Linked DNA regions of Ovis aries. The protein of the gene in region 2 interacts with the protein of the main gene of each other region in a biochemical or structural test. Links are inferred from orthologs where the notes say so. Each region holds a gene or a part of one and is shown on either strand. Other genes may lie near its edges.

Region 1 (4,071 bases), on a different chromosome or scaffold from region 2:
CTATCTCAGACATGTACAATTTTAAAGCGCCTCTGCTTTCTTTTGTCAGAAAGGAGGAAGGTGGGGAAAGAACAGAAGGCCAATGCATCTTTGCCTTTCTTCATCTTCTACTAAAAATAAGCTATGAAATAAGCCACTTAGGGGAAGAAAAAAAAAGAAAGACACCCTGCTGTTCTTTGTCTGTTTTCTTCCCCCTCTCCACCCCCCACACCCCACTCCTAAATACGGTGATCATTCTAGATGCCACAACTACTAAATGAACAAAAGGCACTGTATGGAAAAGGCATCAGGTCAAGTAAGGCCTCACCCTCTTTATCCTCAGCCTTCTAAAAAAATATATGTAAGTATATAATTTGAGAATCTGACATTGATCAAAGACAGCTGGAATTCTCTCTCACCCCCATCCCAATTAAACATTAGGTAGAAATTTGCATTAGGTGTGACAGTAAGTCTCAATTCAAGATAAAAATAACTCAAGATTCTGCCACCATGTCATTTCCTAGTTTCTAAACAAAAATAAAACCCGAAACTGCTTTGTGTAAAATGTACACACAGCCATAGTTACAAGTTTTCCTGCCACCTTATGAAAAGCCAACATTACTGGTATTATTCACACATTTACAAAACTCAATCACAGCCACAAACAGCTCATAAAGAGTCAATTTCACTTGTGCCTAAACATATATTTGGTACATAATATATACTTTATTACTTGCTCCTCTAATTCCCACTCCCACCTCCCCCAAATTCTAAACTTCTAACCCTAAACTGAGACGTTCATGTACTGTTCCTAATTTCTAATCAAGTTTTCCTGAGTGAAGAGAAAAACATCTTATTCCTGAAAAGATTATGGGGTGGGGGGGGGCAGAGAAGAATCACTTGCCCAGGCAACTTCCCTTCCATCCCCCACTTCTAAACCAAATGAAAAAAACTACTTTTTTAAAACTTCAGCGAATTCTTTAAGTGAGTGTTCAACAATAACCATTGATCTCTACAAACTGGTAAAACATCCAATCAAAAACAGTAACAATAAAAGGAAGAAAGAAGGAATTCACCTGAAGAATCTAGCCAAACAACTTGAGTTATATAAACAAAACCCAGCAACAGGGGGAAATGGTGGGGGGATGGGGGTGAAGGAGAAACAGAAGCAGGAGACAGGACTTTTTAAACTGCGTTTCACACACTACCACTCTCCAGCCCCGGGTTCCCCCTCTCCCCAGGGATTCAGTCTTTCAGAACCCTGGGCTCCTCTCTCTCATCTCTCTCTAAATTACCCCTCAAAAAATGTCTCGATTTGTCACAGGAACCTTCGCGAATTTCTCTAGCTGGTCATGAAATAATCGGTCTGGACTCCAACCAAAACCACTGCCTGAAGGACTCTTATCAGTTAGAGCTTTCCCACTGCTACCTCCAAAGTACATAAAGTTGGGGTGGGGGGAGTAGGAAAATAAAGGGTGTCACTTGGCAAGAACAGGGCAGTTATTATGAGCACCTTATTCTCATACAGGGAGTTTGCTTAACTGGCTAGTGCAGGGGCTATTTGGTCAAGGAGATCCCCTTTTTCTCCTTCCCCCTCAGCTGTCATAGCCACAATATGGAGGGTGGCTTGCTGGAGGGCCTGGGGGTCCTCACCACATACTATGGGTGGGATAGGCTTTGTCGGTAGGAAGAAAAGAGTGAGGTTCTTCTAAGGACCAGAAAGCTTAATAGGGGTAGCTGATCTAAAATATTCAGAGCTCTTTAATACAAGAGGGGGGCACTGAGCAGACTACTCTCTTCCTAATATAGAAAGGAATTAGGGATAAAGGAGGTCACTTGAGTTACCCCAGTTCAAGAAGCACTGTGAGAGGAGGGAATGGAGGCATCTCAAGAAAAGGAGAAAGGCTTCGCTCTAGGGAATTTCTATCTCGAATCCCCAAATTCAGAGCGAGCAAACAGGAAAAAGAAGGTGGGCTTGGTGGTGAAGAGAGAGGGCTGGTACTGCAAAAAAAAAAAAAAAAAAGGCCCATTTGGGAGTCCAAATGTCGTGGAGAAAAGTCACGGGGGCTGAAGGTGCGGAAAGAGCGTGAACAACGCACATTTCGGGGTGCTGCAGATAAAGGGGGAGCTGAGAAGGATCTCGGCTCCTGGGAGGTGCCAAAGAGCCTCCGTAGGCACTGGGAGGAGGGAGGGGTGGGAGGAAGCCTTGGACAGTGGGCTGGAGTGCCCCTGGGCCCCTGATTAGGTTTCAGGGGGTGCCCCGGGCATCCCCATATCGTCCCCCACGTAGAACCCGAATTCCCCACCCCCCGCCCCGCTCCACGAAGGATACAGCTTGACCACGTCCGTGTCCATCCGCCTCTTGCCCGGACTAGGGGATGACATGGTGTCGCCGCTGCCTCCCCGTCGCCTGCGCCGCCGCCGCCTCTCGCCCTTCCTCAGCCCGCCTGTCACGGGCCCCGGGCCCCGGCTCTGAGGAGCCCGCGGCCGCGCCGGCTCCTCGATGGAGGTGGCAACACCCCCGCGGTCCTGTTTGGTCCCGTCAGCCGCCGCCGCCGCCGCCGCCCCCCGCACGGGGGGGAACACCGGGCACTGTCCGGCCGAGTGGGGGTGGGGACCCCGCGGCGCACGGCTCGGGCTGCCCCTCTCCGGCTGTGGGTTCCGCCGCGGCCCGGACCTGGCGCTCCTCTGCGCCGCGCGTCGCTCCCTCCTGCCTGCTCTAGCTCTCTCGCCTGCTCGCCCGCTCACCCTCTCGCCGGCTCCCAAGCTGCCTCCACGACAAGCGGACGACTCCTGCTCAATCGGCCTCTCTACCCCAGCCTCGCTCTGGGCGCCGTGACGTCACCTCTGTGACGTCATTGGAGGGGCGGGCCCAGCTGGCGAAAGGGGTGGGGTGCCGCGGCGGCGGCGTGAGTTTAGCAGGGGATTCTGGGAGTTGTAGTTCCTCTTTTTCCTGCCCGTCCAGCTTTCTGCCCCCCCTCCCCCAACTCCCTCACACTTAATCGCTCAACTGTCAGCGTCGTTGTCATCATCAAAAACGATAATGATTAAATAATGGCAGTATCATCATATTCATGTGTTTTAGGGTAATGAACCTCCTTCCCACATACACTGTTTAAAAGTCTGTTTATTTGATTTAAGGAAGCCAAGGTGGAAATTAACCCAGACAGTTACCAAAATCTAGAAATTCCTAAACCAGCAGGTCCCCTGCCCTCTGCTCCCACCTTGAAAGGAGAGAATAGCCAGGCTTCTTCAAGCTTGCAAATCAGGGTTTGCTATCCTTCATATGTATAGGGTCATTTTTTCAAGGATTAGAATTGAGACAGCATGATGGCAATTTAGTTGTAACATCTTTACACAGTTATGTGGTGATTTCACAAAGTGAATGACTGAAAGAAGCAGAAGTACCCCAAATATGCTGCTGTTTAGGACAAAGTTTGTTCTGCCTTCCAAACGTCTAGAGCAGGCCTATAACTTCATCATTCATTCAGTAAGCATTTATTGATCACCCATTGTGTGGTAATCACTGCTGGACATGAGGATATCATGGTGAACTAAGAAAGACTTTAAATTTACACAGCCCTCCCAATGTGGTCTAGATCTAGACTGTCAGCATCACCTGGGAACTTGTTAGAAATGCAGGCTAGAGCTTCACCTCAGACCTACTGAATTAGAATTTGCAGTTTAACAAGGTCCCCCGGTGATTCCTTTGTGCACTAAAGTTTGAGAGACACTGCTCTACAAGGCACTCCAAAAGAAGTGATGTGGAATCCAGGAGTCAACCAGGCAAAGAGGGCAGGAAGGAGTGTTCCAGGCAGCTCCTGTATTTATATCACATTTTTTTTCACTGCCATCTATTTTCAAAATTTTTATCTATTCCTTTGTCCCCATGAATACACTTGTAGTCTGTCAAACCACGTGCTGTGAGTTGGGTCCCCTTATGTAACCTCCTATGTATGCACATACACAGAAACACACACACACACACACACATGAACCTGGAGCAGCAGTAATCACCTAAAATTGAATGTTGTTTGCGCCTATCATGTCATCCCCCAAAAGACCCGTTATTGTTGCATGTGTGTGTTAATT
Region 2 (4,188 bases):
GGAAATAATTTCATCTTTTTTTATCTCACCTGTGGTGGGGGTGTCTGGTTACTCTCATGGGACAATTGATCTGAATCTTACAGAAACTCAGACTAACAGAGACAGAGAGTGGTCGAGGGGGAAATAAATCCAGGAAAATGCTGAGAGGTCAGAAGAGAAGGACAGAGTGAGTCCTTGTGATTTTTCATTCATTGAGTGTTCACTGAGCAACTGCTGTGTGCCCCAGACTTTGTTGGAAGTTGGAGAGGAGCAATGAACAAAATTTATGTTCTGGTAGGAGGAGACAGACAAGAAACTAACAAGTGAAATATGTTTGTGTCAGACTGTGATAAATGTTATGGAGAAAAATAAATCGAGGAAGGAAGGTGTGAGATTTAAAATCAGGGAGTTAGGAAAAGCCCCACTGAAAATGGTGACATTGGGGAAAGATCTGAGGGAGGGAGGGAAGTGGTCACACCGAAACTGTGTTTTATTTATATTTTAATGGAATATAATTGCTTTACAATATTGTGTTAGTTTCTGCTGTACAACAAAGTTTATCAGCTCTAAGTATACATACATCCCCTCTCTCTTGAGCTGCTTCCCATCCCCTCATCCTACCCCTCCAGGTCATCACAAAACATCAGACTGAGCTCCCTGTGCTATGCAGCAGCTTCCAATAACAGGGTTTTCAAGAATGTTCCAGGCAGGGGGGTTAGAAGTGCAAAGGGCAAGGCTGGAGTGAGCAGGGGGAGAGGTGAGTGATGAACAGGGTAAGAGGACTTTGGTTTTTATGCTGAATGCAATTTACACTGAGATCTGAAGGATAAGCCCCGAGGCTCCCAGAGCAGGATCGAGTTTCGACCTCTGGCCCTGGATATAGCTCATTCATTAATTCAACTGTCCCTCTGTCATTCCTTTCCTGAGCACTGAGGGAGGCCCACGTGGCCCTAGGGCTTGTGCTGAGCACTGGAAACTCCAGCTGGGGGAAGAGCGTCCCCTCAGTCCTGCAGGAAGGAAGGCTTTTGGGGTTGGAGGAGATTCTGTCCCGTGTGACTTTGTGCCTTAAGTTTGGGGAATCAGTGGGTGATAAGCTGGGGAGGGGCCACAGGCAGGCAACAGGGGAGGCTGGAAACGGTGAGGTTGGGGAGAAAGCGGAGACTCCTGCCAATCAGGTTTCTGTCTTTTCCGTGGTTTCAGAGGCCCTGTCTCTCTGCTAGCTCTGAGTTCTGGCTCCAGGCTGGGCAGGGGACAGCAGAGTGTGATGGGCCACAACAGGTGGCTTTGCCATGTGACGCTTGTCCGCTGACTGCTCAGTCCTCACTTTTAGAGCAGTTTCCAGAAGTGATGTGAGGGGATAGGCTGGGCAACCTATATATAGTCCTGGGGCCAGGGCTCAGCCTGGGAGGGTCTGTCTGCTCTTCACCGTGCGGCGCCCATCACCCGTGGTGTCCCACGACCTTGCTCTGAGCTTGGTGCTTGCTTCTCTTGAGACACAGCTCTGAGCCACCTACAGTTAGGCTTGACCTTGACTGGGCCTCTTGGGAGTCTCTTTTTAGCCAAGATCTCCAGCCAGACCTGTGAGTCCAGGGGTCCTGGTGGGGGATGGTGGCTGGGGATAAGGGGAAGGGGAGGGACAGGGGGACAGGGGCTTGCTGCGAGTCCTGGAGAGGTGAGAGAAGAGGAGAGGGCAGGGACTCTGGAGGATTTGGGATTGGGGCTGAGGCCAGGGGCCAAGTCAGGGGAAGGACACTTGGGGGTAGGACAGGGTTTGAAAGCCAGCCTCAAGTTGAGGAAGGGGGGTTGAGCCAGGTCCCTGACAGGGGCTATTTGGGTGGGGTGGGCTGGGACAGATAAACCAGTTGAGGTTGCCTTTGGGCCTGAAAGGGAGTCTCCCTTTCTCCCTTGGCCTGAGCCAGAGTCCCTTTCTGTGTGGGTTGAGAGGCCTCTGGAGGTTGGGCCCGGTCTCGCCTCCCTGACGGACCCCTCCTCCATGCAGGCCCGCCATGTCGGCCGCGCCCGGCCTCCTGCACCAGGAGCTGTCCTGCCCGCTGTGTCTGCAGCTGTTCAACGCGCCCGTAACGGCCGAGTGTGGCCACAGCTTCTGTCGCGCCTGCCTGAGCCGCGTGGCCGGGGAGCCGGCGGAGGACGGCACGGTGCTCTGCCCGAGCTGCCAGGCCCCCACGCGGCCGCAGGCGCTCAGCACCAACCTGCAGCTGGCGCGTCTGGTGGAGGGGCTGGCGCAGGTGCCGCAGGGCCACTGCGAGGAGCACCTGGACCCGCTGAGCATCTACTGCGAGCAGGACCGCGTGCTCGTGTGCGGCGTGTGCGCCTCGCTCGGCTCTCACCGCGGCCACCGCCTGCTGCCGGCCGCCGAAGCCCACGCGCGCCTCAAGGTGCGGGCCCCTCCGGCGGGGGTCGGGGTCGGATGGGATGGTTGGACCGGTCGGGGTCGGGACTATCCGACCTCAACTTCAGGGCCCGGGGCGCCTGGAGATGCCAGGGACGCGGGCGGGGCGGGGCGTCTAGGGAAGATGAGCTGAAGGCGGAGCCTGACGGAGACCAGAGCCTGGAAGAAGCGCTCGGAGACCGGCCTCGGCGAGACCAGCGCGGCCACTGGAGCGCACGCGGGGATGCGAGAGGAGCGCAGCAGCAGAGCGGAGTCTGCCTCGCTGGGGCCCTAGCGGAGGACAGGGTCGGTGCCCGCGGCCCACGCGAACAGGCTCGGCTGCTGGGCGTAGCCCTGGATAAGAGGGGCCTCGCTGTCCGGGACCGCCCCGCTCCTGCTCCCCTGGAGCTGCCAAGCTTGTAATGACCTGACAGTTACCAGATGGAGCCTCACCCAAAGGGACCTGGGAGGCCAAGGCACGCCTGCGCGGGCAACTCTGTGCACAGCCCCGAGTTGGTACCGAGACCCAAGTGCAGGCTGTTTTTGTGTTGGAGCTGGAAGTTCCGAACGCCTCCAGCCTCCACACACAGTTGTGCGCGCCCCCTAGGGTTTGCCATCTCTGCGGATGCCCAGACACTGGCAAATGGAGACGCAGGCACACGCTGGCTCGCCTGGCGTACGTGTGGCAGATCACACGCGTGTAGAGCTACAGGAGTGTATGTGTATACACGGGCCCAGGGAGATATGTCATGAAGCCATTTATAGGGTTGTTGGAAGAATAAACGACAGGTGCAGGGCTTGGTGGAGGCGGGGTCCGGAGGCTTGGAGCAGTCCACCGTCTCTGCGATGGAGAAGCTGCCACTCTCTTCAGGCAGCTGTTGAGAGTCGGGGGCGGGTAATCTTTGCCCATAAATTCAGCGTTGCAAGACACTTCTCCTTGGTCTCCAGAGTTCTAGATGGGGTAGACCCCGCCCTTAGGCCCCCCAAATCCTCCAGGGGCCCAGCCTCACCATCCCTCCCCCTCCAGCCTTGCCAGTCCCTTGGGGTGCTGGCTTGTAGTCCCCTAGCCCACTGCAGGAGGCTCCTCCTCCCAGGAGCCCACCCAACCCAGGCTCCCCTCTGCTGGTGACCCCAGAATGCCTATCCTCAACCATCTTTATCTGCAAAAAGAGAAGAGAGTCCATGAAGTGGAACGGGGCACCAGGGAGCCCAGAAGGCTCAAAGGGGCAGGCGGGTTAGGATACAGTCTTTCAGAGTCTGCATCAGTCCACTCTAAGCCCCAGGGAGGAGGTAGCTGGAGGTCTGAAGTAGAGATTCCTGGAAGGAGGGGGAAAAGTGAAAGTGTGTCTGACTCTTTGTGACCCCATAGACAGTAGCCTGCCAGCCTCCTCTGTCCATGGAATTCTCCAGGCAAGAATACTGGAGCGGGTTGCCATTTCCTTCTCCAGGGAATCTTCTCAACCTAGGGATCGAACCCACGACTTCCACGTTGCAGGCAGATTCTTTATCATCTGAGCCACATGATGGACAAGAAACCTGGGGTAAAGCAGAACACCTGGGTCCTTGGGGAGGAAGATGGGTTGGTCCAGAGAATACGTGCCAAGACTCAAGAGTGATTGGATGGGATCTGCTGGGCATCAGGGGACTCACAACCCCCAAAGTCATGTGGCCTCCTCCTGCTTGCCTCGGAGTAGAAGGACACCAGCCTGTTGGTGAGACCCATCATGCACTGTGTCAAGCACTGCTCCCCACACCTCCTCACCATGGGATGTTCCAAGAGCCTTCTCTGTTCAGCCCCTAGCCTCTACGGTGCCATCGTG
Region 3 (4,176 bases), on a different chromosome or scaffold from region 2:
GGTATGGGAAGACCACATGTGCTGCAGAGCAGCTAAGCCCGAGTGCCACAGCTGCTGAGCCTGCACTCTGGGGCCAGGGAGCCACAACTATTGAGCACACGAGCCACAACTACTGAAGCCGCGTGCCCTGGAGCCCGGTCTCCACAACAAGAGAAGCCGCTGGAATGAGAAGCCCATCCCATGCACAGCAACTACAGAGTAGCCTCGATCCTCACACCTAGAGAAAAGCCCAGCACAGCAATGAAGACCCAGCACGGTCAAAATAAATAAATGTATCAAGCATCTCCTAGGTGTCAGGGGCTGCTCTAGACTCTGGAACTGTGGCAGTGAACAGAGAAACATAAGCCTCTCCCTCGTGGAAGCTATAAACATGCAAGAAGTGGCAAATCCATCCACTGACCCCTGAAAGTGAAAGTCGATCAGTCGTATCGGACTCTTTGGGACCCCATGGACTGTATGTAGCCCACCAGGCTCCTCTGTCCATGAGATTCTCTGGGCAAGAATACTGGAGTGGATAGCCATTCCCCTCTCCAGGGGATCTTCCCGATCCAGGGATCAAACCCAGGCTCCTACAGGCAGATTCTTTACCATCTGAGCCACCAGGAAAGCCAGCCCAGGCACAAATCCACCATTAATTCCTAAAGCTACCAGGAACAGAGGAGCAAGGAACTGCATGCATATACAGATGTGCACCCACACACAGACACACACGGGCATGGACACACAAAGCCGGACACAGATCTAACAGCTGGTCTGGGTTTTTGTGTGTGTGTGTGTGTGTGTTTTTTTTCTAACAAGAGCCTAAATCCACTGCTACCCTTCCTTGGAGGAGCACTCACTGTATACCAGGCACTTGGGTGCTTGGAGACGTTGCCTAATTGGCAAAGGTGCTCCACAAACCCGGTTTGTCAACTCCAGAGCCCCCACGTGCTTTCTCGTGCATCCCCACTCACCGACAGGCAACTCAGGAACTTCTGTTCCTTCCCTGCCTGACCCCTTCCTCATCGGGACTGATTTCCTTTTATGGAGAAATCTGAAGAAGTAACCCAACACATATTTTGAAAGCAGGGCCTCCGCCATCATGGTGGGAAACCCCAGTTATATTCTCTTCAAGGATTTTCCATCCTTGACCTGCAGCCAGAAAGACGTGCTGTCAAGCCCAAGGAAAATGCTGGGACTTACCCCTCTCCCCATACCAGGGAGCTGCTAGCCCAGGGACACTCATGAGGGAGAATTGGAAGGGAGAGGGGGCAAGGTGCTGGGCTGACCACAGATTAGAGACCTGCCCAGCTGACAGGTAAAAAGGTAGAGGAGGGAGGTTACCAGGGGTTCCTGGGGCGTGGGCAGCTGGGCAGAGCCCTGGGCAGAGCCAGAGAGGTTTGTCTTCTCTCTAGCTCTGATTCTGGGGCAAGTGAATTCTGTGTCCTTCCTGAGCCTCAGTTTACTCCTCTATGAAATGGACCAACAACAGTATCAGCCTCCACGGGCTGCTGCAGAGATCCAGACAGATAAGACCGGCCAGCCCGAGGCATCTGGTGACACCAGCTATAATAATCATAAAAGCCAACACTACTGCTACTACAGCTGCGCTGTTGCCAAGGGCTAGAGCTTGCCTCCGACATCTGGAAACAGAATTCCAGAGTATAAACATGGACCTGAAGTCAGGGGTAGCCGTGGGTCTAGATACCAGAAAGAAAGGGGCGGGTTCTACACTTCCTCGGCCCCTGGGGGAGCGTCACCAAGCTGCTGGGATCTCAAGGGACCACCCTGCCTTCAGTCAGTCACCCTCGATTCTCACTCCAAACCGTCTGTGCCCGGGGCATTTGGCTGTGTGAGAGTGTCCGATGACCCTACTTCTCGGAGGCGACCCAGAGAGGACGTGTGTCCCGTCTCTGGAGCCAGGTGGTGGGCTCAGAGAGGCCCAGACACGGGGGTTCGAGGAGCGCTCTCGGGAGAGGCGCCCGCGGAGGGGCGGGCACTAGGGCAAGGTTCCTCCAGCCCCGGGCCGCATGCGGGTCGTGGAACCGCTAGCCCAGGCGGGCAAAGGCCAAGGTCAGCGGCTTCCCGCCCCCCGCGAGGCCGGAGAAACCGTCCGAGCCACCAGCCCTCCGACGGAGGACGGCACTCCGTCCACAACGGGGGGTGGTTCCATTTTGGCAAAGGGTCCCCTCCCCACCCGCGCGGCTTCCCGCCCGCTCCGGGACCCCCCAGACTCACCTTCTCCAGGGTACAGGTGGCCCGCGGCGCCCACCAGCAGCGCGGCGACGACCACCAGCAGCAGCACGGCTGCCGCCCCGCTCCCGCCCCCGGCGCCCATGGCTGAAGGATCAGAGCGCGGGGCGCTGGCTGGCGGGGTGCATGCTCCGAGGCGGCCGCCCCAGAGGCGCTGGGGGTCGCGCGTCCTTCTCTTCCACGCGGGCAGCCCAAGGTCCCGCAGCCTGCGCCCGGGAGGACTCTAGATACGGCCCCGGGAGGGGCGCGCGGCCTCCGCTGCTACGAATCCGGCAGCGCGGCCGGGTGGAGACGGTCCCGACTCCGGGCCCCCGCGGCCCGCGCCCCCGTCCCGACGATCTCAGGGCCCGGAGCCCCGCGCTGCGCCCCCCTGACTCTAGGCTCTTGGCCCCGAGCGCTCCGGAGCTCCGATCTTCGGACGCGCGGACAAACGGACGTGCGGACAGGCGGGCGGGCACCTGGGCTGGCGGGTGGCGGGCAGGCGGCGGGAGCCAGGGCTGCTCGGCCCGTAAACAACGCGGCCCGTCAGCTGGGCCCCGTTCGGGCCGCGGGAAAAGGCGGCGCGGATCTGGGCTCGGAAGGGACTCGGCGCCCGGCAGAGGCCCGAGAGGGGTGGAAGGAGGACGGGCAGGGGGGAGGCGCCGCCCCGCCCGCCCGCCGGTCTCCCTATCCTGGGCCCCGCGCTGGAGGCCCCCGTCGCGCCGTAGCCGAGGGGGCGCCCTAGATGCCTGCCCAGCCCCAGCGCCCCGTACAGCCCCAGGACTCCTGTCTCAGAGCCCGGGAGCGCCCCAGATTGACCAACTCAGCAAGTCGGATCGCGTGTTTAAAACATTTTGCTAGTTTGTTCTTCGTGGGACTTTAGAAAATTCATTTTTATTTTTTTAAATATTGCATTAAAATATTGTTTATCGTGGTTACTCGGCTTTTTGGTACTCCCTTAAATGTTGCGTTCACCTTCCCCTCGTCACAGTCTGGCCAGTGAGTATGGCCCTCGAGCGCCCCGGATGTCCTACCCCAGAGTGCGCCCCCGCCCAGAGCCAGGCCCCTGGGGACAGCCACGTGCACGAGCGTGCCGCGTGCGCTCAAGTATTGGGTAGCCTGGCCCCTCCGCACGATGCGTGGTTCAAGGTGGAGAAATGACCCTTAGGAGAAAGTGTAGAAACTAGCAAAAAAAAAAAAAAGTGCAAACCAGGCGCTGGAGATCTTCGGTAGAACACAGGTGGACACACCCAAGTTTCAATGCGCAGACCCAGAGTCCGTGTGTGTTTGAACGTCAGTCACGTGACAGTGGCCACCCCGCCTGCTGAAGAGGGGCCTTAAGCACAGAGAAGCCAGAACGGAGTGAGAATCTGCTTGAATGAGTAATTTTTCTCTCTCTCGATGGGCCTCATCTGTATGATGCACGTAAGGACACCTTCAGGTCAGATTTGGTGAGTTGTAAGGGCTTCCCGGAGAAGGCGATGGCACCCCACTCCAGTACTCTTGCCTGGAAAACCCCATGGAGGGAGGAGCCTGGTAGGCTGCAGTCCATGGGGTCCCTAAGACTCGGACAGGACTGAGCGACTTCACTTTCACTTTTCACCTTCATGGATTGGAGAAGGAAATGGCAACCCACTCCAGTGTTCTTGCCTGGAGAGTCCCAGGGACAGGGGAGCCTGGTGGGCTGCCGACTATGGGGTCGCACAGAGTCAGACACGACTGAAGCGACTTAGCAGCAGTAGCAGCAGCAGCAGCAAGGGCTTCCCAGGTTGCTCAGTGGTAAAGAATTTGCCCACCAATGCAGGAGACGCAGGTTAGATTCCTGGGTCAGGAAGATCCCCTGGAGGAGGAAATGGTAGCCCACTCCAGTATTCTTGCCTGGAAAATCCCATGGGTAGAGGCAGGCTACAGTCCATGGAGTCGCAAAGAGTTCGACATGACTGAGCTCGTGTGCATACACACACA

Evidence for each region.
Region 1: the proteins of TRIM72 (region 2) and UBE2H form a complex in vitro, tested with the Homo sapiens proteins (2 studies listed by BioGRID). The link is inferred for Ovis aries from reciprocal best matches to the Homo sapiens genes TRIM72 and UBE2H.
Region 3: the proteins of TRIM72 (region 2) and INSR form a complex in vitro, tested with the Homo sapiens proteins (2 studies listed by BioGRID). The link is inferred for Ovis aries from reciprocal best matches to the Homo sapiens genes TRIM72 and INSR.

The regions. Positions count from the first base shown.
Region 1 is NC_056057.1:95,429,593-95,433,663, forward strand, and holds the start of UBE2H (ubiquitin-conjugating enzyme E2 H), read right to left. Parts: upstream 2,803-4,071; 5' UTR 2,365-2,802; coding exon 2,312-2,364; exon of another isoform or gene 1-2,311. UniProt on the Homo sapiens protein: Accepts ubiquitin from the E1 complex and catalyzes its covalent attachment to other proteins. E2 ubiquitin conjugating enzyme that transfers ubiquitin to MAEA, a core component of the CTLH E3 ubiquitin-protein ligase complex.
Region 2 is NC_056077.1:27,809,985-27,814,172, forward strand, and holds the start of TRIM72 (tripartite motif-containing protein 72), read left to right. Parts: upstream 1-1,384; 5' UTR 1,385-1,559; intron 1,560-1,978; 5' UTR 1,979-1,985; coding exon 1,986-2,375; intron 2,376-4,188. UniProt on the Homo sapiens protein: Muscle-specific E3 ubiquitin-protein ligase that plays a central role in cell membrane repair by nucleating the assembly of the repair machinery at injury sites.
Region 3 is NC_056058.1:13,933,465-13,937,640, forward strand, and holds the start of INSR (insulin receptor), read right to left. Parts: upstream 2,803-4,176; 5' UTR 2,318-2,802; coding exon 2,218-2,317; intron 1-2,217. UniProt on the Homo sapiens protein: Receptor tyrosine kinase which mediates the pleiotropic actions of insulin.